Linked DNA regions of Pelodiscus sinensis. The protein of the gene in region 1 interacts with the protein of each later gene in a biochemical or structural test. Links are inferred from orthologs where the notes say so. Each region holds a gene or a part of one and is shown on either strand. Other genes may lie near its edges.

Region 1 (3,600 bases):
ACGGCACGGGCCATTGTGAGAGCCGCGTGCGTCCGGTCGAAGCGCTGCGACGGGTCCGTCGGCTCATCCCGCCAACTCCAGGGACACAGGCACAGTTGGCAAAACTACCCTCTCGCGGGAGGCCGCCTCGCTTGCGACAGTCTTGCGGCCCCTGAGAGGACGAGCCGCTCCTGCCGCCTGCTCACGCGCCTCGGTTGCCCACGGCCCGTCGGGTGGCGGCGCCCGGTTCAAATGGCGCCAGGCACAGCCCCCCGCGAAGCCGGCCCTGCAAGAGGCTGGATGCTCTTCGCCCTGGCACGAATGGCCGCTGGTCCAGGCAGGAGGGGGGCTTCCCCAACCTGGCTGCTGGGGGCACTGTAGCCATCCCTCCCTCCCAGAGCCGTTGGCCTCCCTTGTGGAGTCCCCCTCCCCCCGCATGAGACGGTTCCCGCCTGAGAGACCAGGCCCCTCCCCCACTGCGGCAGCGCCGCTCCCGAAATCTGCTCCACCGAGTCGCGCCCCTTAGCAACAAGGCTTACCTCACCCCGCGCCAATCAGCGGCCAGCACCGCTCGCCCCTTCCCCCCCGGCTCTTCCAGAGCTTTCTCCCTAGACTCCTCTGGGAGCCAATCAACGACCAGTCTCGCCCCCTCCGCACCCAATCAGTGTCGATCAGTGCCAGAACCCCGCCTACCGTCCTCAGGGGTTGCGAAGCTTCCAGAGCGGTCTGGCAGCCTTCTCACCGTGGCAAAAATCCCTCCGCGCCTCGGAGACTTCGGTTATTCGGAGGGAGAGCGGTGGATTTGGCCGAGAAGGGGACAGGGCGTAGCTTTGAGACGTCCAAAAAGGTTCCGGGAGGAGGAAGGACCCCTATTTCCCCTGGATGCAGGCCCACCGCTGGGAACTATTTTCTGCAGCGCACTGATACTAGCGGGGCGTGACTGCGTGCGTCGACTGCGTCACCCGTCCCATAAATAGGAGCGGGCGGAGACACCCTGTAGCAGTGCGGTTTCGTAGTAGCGGGGTAAAGTCAGCCTTTGTGAAGCAAATTTTTTCGGTTTTCTAGACGAGCGTCCGGGCTAACGGTAGGCGCTGGGGGGCACCTCGGCAGGATGTGAGCGGGAGGGCGATGAGGACAGTGGCGCGGAGAGCGGCCTGCGCGCGCGGCGGGGTATTAACTCGGCCCTGCTCTGTGTGGGGAAGGCGGTTGGGCGCGAGGGGCCCCGGCCTAAGATGGCGGGGGCTGCGCGGCGCCATTCGCTCGCCTTCCCGGAAGAGAAGGGCGCGAGTCACGGGCGCGCATTGTGACTGGGCGGGAAACGGGGTGGCCCCCACATGCCGTAAGCGGCGCCCGTCGCGCAGAGGGGGATGGGGCCGAGCCGCCGTGGGGGTGCGGGGCGGCCGGGACGGTAAAAGTCCCAGAGAGTGGGGGTGGGAAGATGGCCGCGCGGTTTTTTTTCTTCCCCTCCCCCATTATAAGCCTCGCGCTTAGTTCCCTGGTGGGGGCGGGGGAGGGAGCATTTGGGTCCAGGCTCGATCTTGCTCAGCTCAGACTCCCTTTGTGGGCAGGAGATGTTGTGCTTTAAGCCAGCACCATCTTGGTGTTGAGACTCCAGGAAACAGGACTGGGAGATTTGTGTCTCCAAAATATTTCCAAGACTTTCTTTACTGGCATATCTTGAGTCACTTTTTGTACTGCAGTGTTAGTGGGAAGCTTTTGGGGTCTGGGTTTTTGTCCTGTTTTGTAGCAAGTTGATCATTATGGGAAGCTGAACATTTTTCTCGTTCTTTGTACAGTTCACCATGCAGATCTTTGTGAAGACCCTGACTGGCAAGACTATCACCCTAGAGGTGGAGCCCAGTGACACCATTGAGAATGTGAAAGCCAAGATCCAGGACAAAGAAGGCATCCCCCCTGACCAGCAGAGGCTGATCTTTGCTGGCAAGCAGCTGGAAGATGGCCGCACCCTGTCTGACTACAACATCCAGAAGGAGTCCACCCTCCATCTTGTGCTGCGTCTGAGAGGTGGTATGCAGATCTTTGTGAAGACCCTGACTGGCAAGACCATCACCCTAGAGGTGGAGCCCAGTGACACCATTGAGAACGTGAAAGCCAAGATCCAGGACAAAGAAGGCATCCCCCCTGACCAGCAGAGACTGATCTTTGCTGGCAAGCAGCTGGAAGATGGCCGCACCCTGTCTGACTACAACATCCAGAAGGAGTCCACCCTCCATCTTGTGCTGCGTCTGAGAGGTGGTATGCAGATCTTTGTGAAGACCCTGACTGGCAAGACCATCACCCTGGAGGTTGAACCCAGTGACACCATTGAGAACGTGAAAGCCAAGATCCAGGACAAAGAAGGCATCCCTCCTGACCAGCAGAGGCTGATCTTTGCCGGCAAGCAGCTGGAAGATGGCCGCACCCTGTCTGACTACAACATCCAGAAGGAGTCCACCCTCCATCTTGTGCTGCGTCTGAGAGGTGGTATGCAGATCTTTGTGAAGACCCTGACTGGCAAGACCATCACCCTAGAGGTGGAGCCCAGTGACACCATTGAGAACGTGAAAGCCAAGATCCAGGACAAAGAAGGCATCCCCCCTGACCAGCAGAGACTGATCTTTGCTGGCAAGCAGCTGGAAGATGGCCGCACCCTGTCTGACTACAACATCCAGAAGGAGTCCACCCTCCATCTTGTGCTGCGTCTGAGAGGTGGTATGCAGATCTTTGTGAAGACCCTGACTGGCAAGACCATCACCCTAGAGGTTGAACCCAGTGACACCATTGAGAACGTGAAAGCCAAGATCCAGGACAAAGAAGGCATCCCTCCTGACCAGCAGAGGCTGATCTTTGCCGGCAAGCAGCTGGAAGATGGCCGCACCCTGTCTGACTACAACATCCAGAAGGAGTCCACCCTCCATCTTGTGCTGCGTCTGAGAGGTGGTATGCAGATCTTTGTGAAGACCCTGACTGGCAAGACCATCACCCTAGAGGTTGAACCCAGTGACACTATTGAGAATGTGAAAGCCAAGATCCAGGACAAAGAAGGCATCCCCCCTGACCAGCAGAGGCTGATCTTTGCTGGCAAGCAGCTGGAGGATGGCCGCACCCTGTCTGACTACAACATCCAGAAGGAGTCCACCCTCCATCTTGTGCTGCGTCTGAGAGGTGGCTGTTAAGTTATTGTGGCTCTTCCTTTACAAGATTGCCAATAGCATTTGTTTTGCACTGTAGCCCGTCAATGTCTTAATATTGTAAGTTAACTGCAAGTTTCAGTAAATGCTGAACAGTGTATGCTAATAAAGGTTTTTGTTGCACATTATATGGTCTTTGTGAAACTATGCAGTACTTACCCAATTACCAGTTTTAATCTGATTGTGTTCCATGGAGTGGTATGTGGAGGCTTAGGTACTAATTCTGGTCTTGAGTTTACTTTTTAGATCAGAATATACAAAGTAATGAAATCCTCAACTTAATTATAATGGGGAAAATTCATTGATATACTAATTCCAATACATTTGAGACAGGAAAGGAGGTTCTGGTCCCCTTTTCATAGTAGGCATTCTCAGTTATGCCTCTCTGCTTAGTAAAACTTAAAGCCTACTCTAAAGAAAGGAACATGCC
Region 2 (3,820 bases), on another chromosome or scaffold:
GGCAAGGCCATGCGACTGGCCTGGCTCTCTTCCTCCTGCCGTGAGGCGGGAGGGTATGCAGCTGCCCCGGTTCTCTCCCTCCGGCTGTGAAGGGGGAGGGCACATGGTTCACAGCTCTCCCTCCCCGTAAGGGTGGAGTGCTCGTGGCTCTGGGGGAGCAGCACGATTTAAAACTCCAGCAGCTGCCCGCAACATGGTGGCTGCCAGAGGTACAGCCAGCCCCAGTCACAACTCAGGGCCAGGGTGTCCCACAGTCTGGGCCCCACTCCTGCAGCAGGCCGTTCTGCTGGCCCCCTCACCCGCTGCTGGAGCACCATAATTTTCCTCCTTCCCCCACCCCACACAAGCCTAGCAGCAGGAGCAGCTTATCTTCAGTGCTGCTGCTGCCTAGGAGCCATAGGTTGCTGATCCCTGCCGGGTTAGCAGTGGGGAGGAGGGAGGAAAGTAGGAGGCGGGGTGGTGGATGATGTCATGTCACTCAGTCATCCCACAGCAAAATATATATATATATATATATATATATATATATATAAATAAAAGATGAGCTTTTGTGAGTAAAACCTGCTTCATCAGATACTGTGGTGGTGGCTGGAGGTGGTAGGCCAGGGACCCTAGTGTGAGGGGGACTGTGGGTCCCAATTCAGGCAGATGAGGTTCTGGGAGATGACTCATCTGATGAAGTGGGTTTTACTCATAAAAGCTCATGATCATATTTATAGATTTTAATAGTCTCATAGCTATGGGCGAGTAGATTACACTAATTGTTGAGCCCTGCTCATAGCACCATCTAAACGTTTTGTTAGTCTTTAAAGTGCTACTAGACTATTTGTTGTTTTTTAAGTTTTTCCTGTTACTGATTAACTGAGCTACGCCTCTGAATCGTTAGTATCTGAGATGCCACAGGAGTACTTATTGCCTCTATCGATACAGGCTTTGTTCCCTTATGTATGGTAGCTGCACTATCCCCTGCTCACTGGGGTGCTGATGATGGAAACCATATATTTTGGGTTTATTACAATTTCAAGCCAGAGGCCTGCAGCACTCCTAGTTCCAATACCACTGCCTATAGATGCCAGTACAGATATTCCCTTCATCCCTGACAGATTGCTGTGGTGCACTTATCTCCCCTATAGAGTCCATGCTCTCTCTAGTCTGCTGCCTGCAGTAGGTATTAATATACCTATCTCATAGGGCTTGAAAGGGACCCTTATGGCAGGGCCAAGTACTATACCATCCCTGACCAATTTGCCCCAGATCCCTAAATGGCCTCCTCAAGGATTAAAGTCACAAGCCCGGCTTTAGCAGGCCAATGCTCAAACCACTGATCTCTCCCTCCCCTGTCTAACAACTTGTTCTGAAACTCACATACAGCACGCCCGACCGCGGGTCTAATTTCCCACCCACGATATCTGCCTCTAGAAATCTAGCTCCCACGGGTCAGCCCGCCCAGCTCACCGGTCCTTTCTTCCTGCGCCCGCCTGCACCGCCTCCCGTCAGCCCCCGGACTCGCTTACCGCCGCACTTCCCGCGTTACGGTGACGTGGGCGGGAGGAAGGCCGGGCTAGTCGGAGCGACAGCGGCGCAAGATGGCGGCCACCACGGGCTCGGGTGAGCGGGGCTCGGGTGGCCGAGGCCGGGCCGGGGAGGAGGGGCTCGCCGCCGGAGGCGGGGCAGCTGGTACCGGCGGACGCGGCGGTGACCGGCTTTGGCCCAGCGGGCTCCCGTGAACGGGGGCTCGCCGGCGGGGCGTGTCTGCTGGGGCGGCGGCGGCTTAGGGGCGCTAGGCCGGGAGCCCCAGTCCGGGCGTGTGAGGTTCCGAGCGAAGAGGCCCTGGGGGTGTCTGGGGACTGCAGGGGAAGGGTGACAGTGGGGTGCCGGCTGGAGATGGGGGTGCTGGGCTGGAGGGGGCTTCCTTGTGTGCTGGGTGCGGTGTCCATGGGCAGAAGGGCGTTCTGGGGGTGCTGGGCTGGAGGGGGCTTCCTTGTGTGCTGGGGTGCAGTATCCATGGGCAGAAGGGCGTTCTGGGGGTGCTGGGCTGGAGGGGGCTTCCTTGTGTGCTGGGTGCGGTGTCCATGGGCAGAAGGGCGTTCTGGGGATGCTTGGCTGGAGGGGGCTTCCTTGTGTGCTGGGGTGCAGTATCCATGGGCAGAAGGGCGTTCTGGGGGTGCTGGGCTGGAGGGGGCTTCCTTGTGTGCTGGGGTGCAGTATCCATGGGCAGAAGGGTGTTCTGGGGGTACTAGTTAGAGGGGGGCTGCCTTGTGTGCTGGGGTGCAGTATCCATGGGCAGAAGGGCGTTCTGGGGGTGCTGCCTTGTGTGTCAGGATGGGGCATTTTCGAGAACAGGGAGCATTCTGGATTCCATAACCTAGAGGAGGAATGCCATGTGTGCCAGGCTGGGTGTCTTTGCAGGGGATAAGGTTATGGGAGTACCAGGCTGAGAAATGGCAAGATGGTAGGTTGTCGGGAAAACCAGGCTGGAGGAGAATAAGGATGACTTGTTCCAAGTTGGGAGGATGTTCTTGACTGCTTCTCCTTTACCCTTAACCTGATTTCTTCTTCTCAAGCATTCAACCCTACTTTGTCTTTTATTCTTTCTGGCTATGTCTAGACTGGCCCCTTCTCTGGAAGAGGCATGCAAAGTAGGCAAGTCAAATAGGGAAATCCGCGGGGGATTTAAATATCCCCCACGGGATTTAAATAAACATGGCCGCCGCTTTTTTTCCGGCTTGGGGAAAAGCCGGAAAAGAGCGTCTAGACTGGCGCAATCCTCCGGAATAAAGCCCTTTTCCAGAGGATCTCTTATTCCTACTTGCAAGTAGGAATAAGTGATCCTCCGGAAAAGGGCTTTATTCCGGAGGATCGCGCCAGTCTAGACGCTCTTTTCCGGCTTTTCCCCAAGCCGGAAAAAAAGCAGCGGCCATGTTTATTTAAATCCCCTGCGGATTTCCCTATTTGACTTGCCTGCTTTGCATGCCTCTTCCGGAGAAGGGGCCAGTCTAGACGTAGCCTCTGAGTATATTCTTTCCAGATTAAAAGGGCTGTTGGAATAAACCTGAAGTTACTGAAGGTTGGTCGTAATTGGGCATTTGTATTGTCATCATAGTTATGAAAGTGAGGGGTGTAAAAAATCTGTGTACTTGAGAGACATAGCTATACAGGCAGTCCCCGGGTTACGTACAAGATAGGGACTGTAGGTTTGTTCTTAAGTTGAATCTGTATGTAAGTCGGAACTGGCGTCCAGATTCAGCCGCTGCTGAAACTGATCAGTTTCAACAGCGGCTGAATCTGGATGCCAGTTCTGGCTTACATACAGATTCAACTTAAGAACCCCAGGTGTCCCCAAGTCAGCTGCTGCTGAAACTGATCAGCAGCTGATTCCAGGAAGCCGGGGGCAGAGCAACTCTGCCTCGGGCTTCCTGTAGTCAGCCGCTGGTCAGTTTCAGCAGCGACTGACTTGGGGACGCCTGGGGCAGAGCAGCTGGGGTGCTGCCGGGTTGGTCCAGTAGCGCCGAGGAGCGGTGCTGCGGGACCAACCCAGCAGCGCCCCGGATGTTCTACCGTGGGCAGAAAAGCCTGGTCTGCTGGGAGGGAGGGGGCACTAGCTGAGCCCCCCCTCCAGCAGACCAGGGAGACGCGGAGCAAAGCTGCGGAGGAAGCCTGCAACGGGACAGCCCAGACGCGCCGCTGCTGTCCCACTGCGGGCGGCCTCCGAGGCTTTGCTCGCCGTCTCCCTGGTCTGACCAGCAGACCAGGGAGACGGGGAGCAGCTTTCCTCCCCCCGGAGGACACGGGTGGCGGGACCGCTCCCGTCCTCCGGGGC
Region 3 (3,820 bases), on another chromosome or scaffold:
TGCAGATGTAGTCACCTCACCTCAAAAAGATGTCTTGAAATCGAAAAAAGTTCAGAAATGGGCAAAAATGATTAGGGATATGGAAAGGCTGCCATATGTGGACAGATTAATAATACTGGAACTTTTCAACTTGGAAAAGAGACAACCAAGGGGGCATATGATATAGGTCTATAAAATCACAACTGGTATGAAAAAAATTGAATGAAGTTATTTATTCCTTCCCATAATACAAGAACTAGGGGTCACCAAATGAAATTAATAGGTTGCAAATTTAAAACAAACAGAAGGAAGTACTCCACACAACACGCTGTCAACGTGTGGAACTCCATGCCAGAGGATGTTGTTAAGTCCAAAACTACAACAGGATTCAAAAAAGAGCTAGATAGATTCATGGAGGATAAGGCCATCAATGGCTATTAGCTAGGATGGGCAGGACTGTTATCCTTAGCCTTTTCAGAAGCTGGGAAACAGCGATATGGGTAGATCACTTGATGATTGTTTAGTCTGTTCATTCCCTGTGGGGCACCTGGCATTGGCCACTGTCAGAAGACAGAATACTGAGCTAGACAGACCTTTGGTCTAACACAGTCGGGCCGTTCTTATATTCTTATCTCGATTTGTCCTCCACTATGGTCACTATCACCCAAGTCAGCTGCTATTATGAGATTTTCACCACTTAGGACCAAAATATCAGAAGAATAGAGCTCATGTTCTTTTCTGGGTTTGATTTTGCTCTGAAACTAAAACTTTACAAACAGGTATTTGCATACCCTGATTAGTGTTTTTTGAGGCTAGATTAAAAAAAAGGGAGGAGAGCTAAGAAGGAGCTACCCTAGTTCTTAACCTTTGCAGGACAAACATGATTGAGACTACCATGTGGCTATTTCCCTATCTGCAGGGGTGCGGTGCCAAGATGCTCTGGGCTGGACTGGTGAGTGCCCAAGTAGTGACTTTTTCTTCTTCTTCCATAAAAGGCAATAGGATGTGGATTGTGGGAGCTGGGAACAAAAACCGTTATCAAAAACTAGTTTTTACCTCTCCCCGTAACACTGCACTGCCTCCGAAGCTCTGCAGCTGGCAGTAGCTCAGATAGCGCGGGCTTTGCAGAGCGACTTTCCCAGCCCGCAGCCTCATAGGCGAGCACACACCAGCTACATTACGACCGACCCTGCCTATAAGGGACCTCAAGACAGCAACAGTCCCGCCGGCCGTGCGCGTGCGCCCTCCTTTCGCTCGCCCCTGTTCATAAACCAATCACATGACCCGTTCCGCCTCCTGCTCCTTTGTTTGTTTTTCTCCGGAACGCCTGAAGGCGACGGGCGTTCCGGAGAAAAACAAACAAAGGAGGGGCGGGGCGAAGAAGACTAGAACGAGACACCGCGCTGTTCTATGACGTCATTGTGCGCCGGTCCGCTCGCCTTTGAGAATTATGTAGGATACTCCTCAGGAGCTCGCGTTCTACCTATGGAACGCTGGCAATAGATGTATCGCGCGCCCCCAGCCCCGGAGCGCTGCAGACGCGGCGGGCCCTAGGCTGCATTCCCAGGAGTCTGCGCTACGGGCTGCTTGTCCCCGCGGCTGCTTCTGGGGTTCGATCAGCCCTGCTGCTCCGGCTGCCGCGGCAGGTGGTTACCCAAGCGGCTCGCCCTGTGGGCTGCCTGGTTGCAGAAGCAGCAGGAAATTCTGCGACGGTGCAACCTCCTCGTCAGTCTGGGATCTTGGCTGGGGCCGTTGGGCTGTCTTATAATTTGCTTCCATTGGCTGCTGTGCATGGGCCTGTCTGGGTCCTGCAAGCCCTTGTTTTCTTAGTGGTGAGAGGAGGGGAGCATGGCAGCCTCTGCATCAGAAAAAAGCAACAAGAAGAAAACAGAGAAGAAACTTGCCGCCCGAGAAGAAGCTAAGCTGCTGGCGAGCTTTATGGGAGTCATGAATACCATGCGAAAACAGGTAGGGCAAGAGATACAGCTTGAAAGAGCAGAACGTTCTTTGTTCTTTCGCTGTTTGTGATGAAGTCTGCCCTAAAAGAACCAATGTCCAATGTCTAGTAGGAAACTTCACCACCCCTCAGTCTCAGTAAACTGATCTAACCTTAGGTTTCCTAGTAATTGTAGGTAGAACATGTCATCGTTAGTCCTCTGTTTTTTGATACACGTGTGGTCTTTCAGTGGCTTCACTGCTAGCTTTGAATATAACACATTAAGCTGTACTTAAGTAAGCTATCCAAGGTCTGAATTCTTGTTTCTGTTTTACAAGCACCAAGACTTTAACTTTCCCGAGGGTGCATATCCTATCAGATGTTGAACCGAGAAATCCTGCAAACCCACTTGTATTTCCTAGACTTTTATCTTTAATACACGAGGTATCTTCCTGCCTATATGTTGATTGCCAATACATCTTTCAGTGGTACTTTGTTAAACCACTATCTCCTCTTAATTAGTTTAGTAGGACATTCACCAATTCAGAGTTTGAGTCCAGCCAAAGTTAATTTCTCAACTAGGCTTTTGTAGTATCCTTTTATTAAATGAGTATGTTCATATAGAATAATCTAGAGATCTTGTGGCACTTTTTTAGGAAGGGATTTTGTCCATCCCTATTTAATCCATGTACATACTGGTTTTTGATAGGAAGATGTCACAAAAGATACACAAATAGTCTTAACACCCAGCATGCTTTGAGCATTATAAAAAATAATAAATAATTGCTAACATACGTATGTGGTGTGACATAGTAAGCATCCTCATGTATTGAAAGTTCTGTTATTGTTATGCGGTGTTGCTGATACTAAAACAGGAAGAGTTACTGTAGTGGGTCCACTTTCTTATTTGAGGTTTTCTTTGCAGTAAGCCAAAAAGTCAAATATGGATAGAGGGCTGAGTTATTTTGGTTGAAACTGTACTAACACAAACTTCTTTCAGAGACTGTTGAAATTGAAGTGGATATGCACAGTCAAAGTCTTTATGCCTGGTGTAGACGGAACAGGTGATGGGTATTTTTAACATGTATTCATCCACTGTGGAGAGGAAATACAACTCTTGCCCATTAAATCAGTTGAGATGATTCTGCTAGAACTCAGGTAGCAACTTTACAAATAAATTCACCAAAATGTTGTGTTTCGTGTGCAACATGGCTGCTTACTTCAGAAGCCCATGCTCATGTTTGTAGCCTGATCGATACTACTGAGTCTGTCTCTGTTCTTCTGAATTGTTGTATGCTGGCTCGAGCCTTGTCTTCAGGTTGATCAGCCTCCCAGGCCAATAACCTGATGGGCAGCCAGGTTGCCTGTCACTTGGTGAACACAGTTTCATTGTCCAATATCTTGACTCTAGAACTGGCTTTCTGATAAACTGTCAGAGTTCATGAAGTGCCACTACTGGGGAAAAAATTAACCTTTGCAAGTTTGGTGCAAGAGCATCCAGATAACTAAAACGATTGATTCCCTGATGCAAAGGAAGACCTATTTCTTTTTTCTGTGAGGAAGTTAATCAGAATCTATATAAAATGTAGGACAGGAAGAGACCTTGATAGGTCACCTAGTCCAGTTCCCTGTACTGCTTCAGGACTAAGTATTAGCTATATCAGCAGTTCCCAACCACCGGTCCGGGTACTGGTGGTGGGCCACCAACTTGCTGAGCAACACACTCTGCCAGGCCACGCCTCCAGCTGCTAATGAGCCCTTCCTGCTGGGGAACTCCATTCCCTATAAGTTGCACGCTTGCACATGTACTAAACATTCTTCTCCCACCCTCCCACAGTGAGTGGCATTGCAGGCTGTGTGCCGTGGCTGGAGCCTGCCCGCCGTGAAGCTGTTCCTACTGTGGCA

Evidence for each region. The genes of interacting proteins can lie anywhere in the genome.
Region 2: the proteins of UBC (region 1) and UBE2V1 form a complex in vitro, tested with the Homo sapiens proteins (3 studies listed by BioGRID, with this or other methods). The link is inferred for Pelodiscus sinensis from reciprocal best matches to the Homo sapiens genes UBC and UBE2V1.
Region 3: the proteins of UBC (region 1) and KLHL7 form a complex in vitro, tested with the Homo sapiens proteins (2 studies listed by BioGRID, with this or other methods). The link is inferred for Pelodiscus sinensis from reciprocal best matches to the Homo sapiens genes UBC and KLHL7.

The regions. Positions count from the first base shown.
Region 1 is NC_134731.1:3,492,026-3,495,625, forward strand, and holds UBC (polyubiquitin-C), read left to right. Parts: upstream 1-904; 5' UTR 905-1,063; intron 1,064-1,775; 5' UTR 1,776-1,781; coding exon 1,782-3,155; 3' UTR 3,156-3,298; downstream 3,299-3,600.
Region 2 is NC_134728.1:19,381,226-19,385,045, forward strand, and holds the start of UBE2V1 (ubiquitin-conjugating enzyme E2 variant 1), read left to right. Parts: upstream 1-1,452; 5' UTR 1,453-1,586; coding exon 1,587-1,608; intron 1,609-3,820. UniProt on the Homo sapiens protein: Has no ubiquitin ligase activity on its own. The UBE2V1-UBE2N heterodimer catalyzes the synthesis of non-canonical poly-ubiquitin chains that are linked through Lys-63.
Region 3 is NC_134712.1:199,305,956-199,309,775, reverse strand, and holds the start of KLHL7 (kelch-like protein 7), read left to right. Parts: upstream 1-1,408; 5' UTR 1,409-1,827; coding exon 1,828-1,947; intron 1,948-3,820. UniProt on the Homo sapiens protein: Substrate-specific adapter of a BCR (BTB-CUL3-RBX1) E3 ubiquitin ligase complex. The BCR(KLHL7) complex acts by mediating ubiquitination and subsequent degradation of substrate proteins. Probably mediates 'Lys-48'-linked ubiquitination.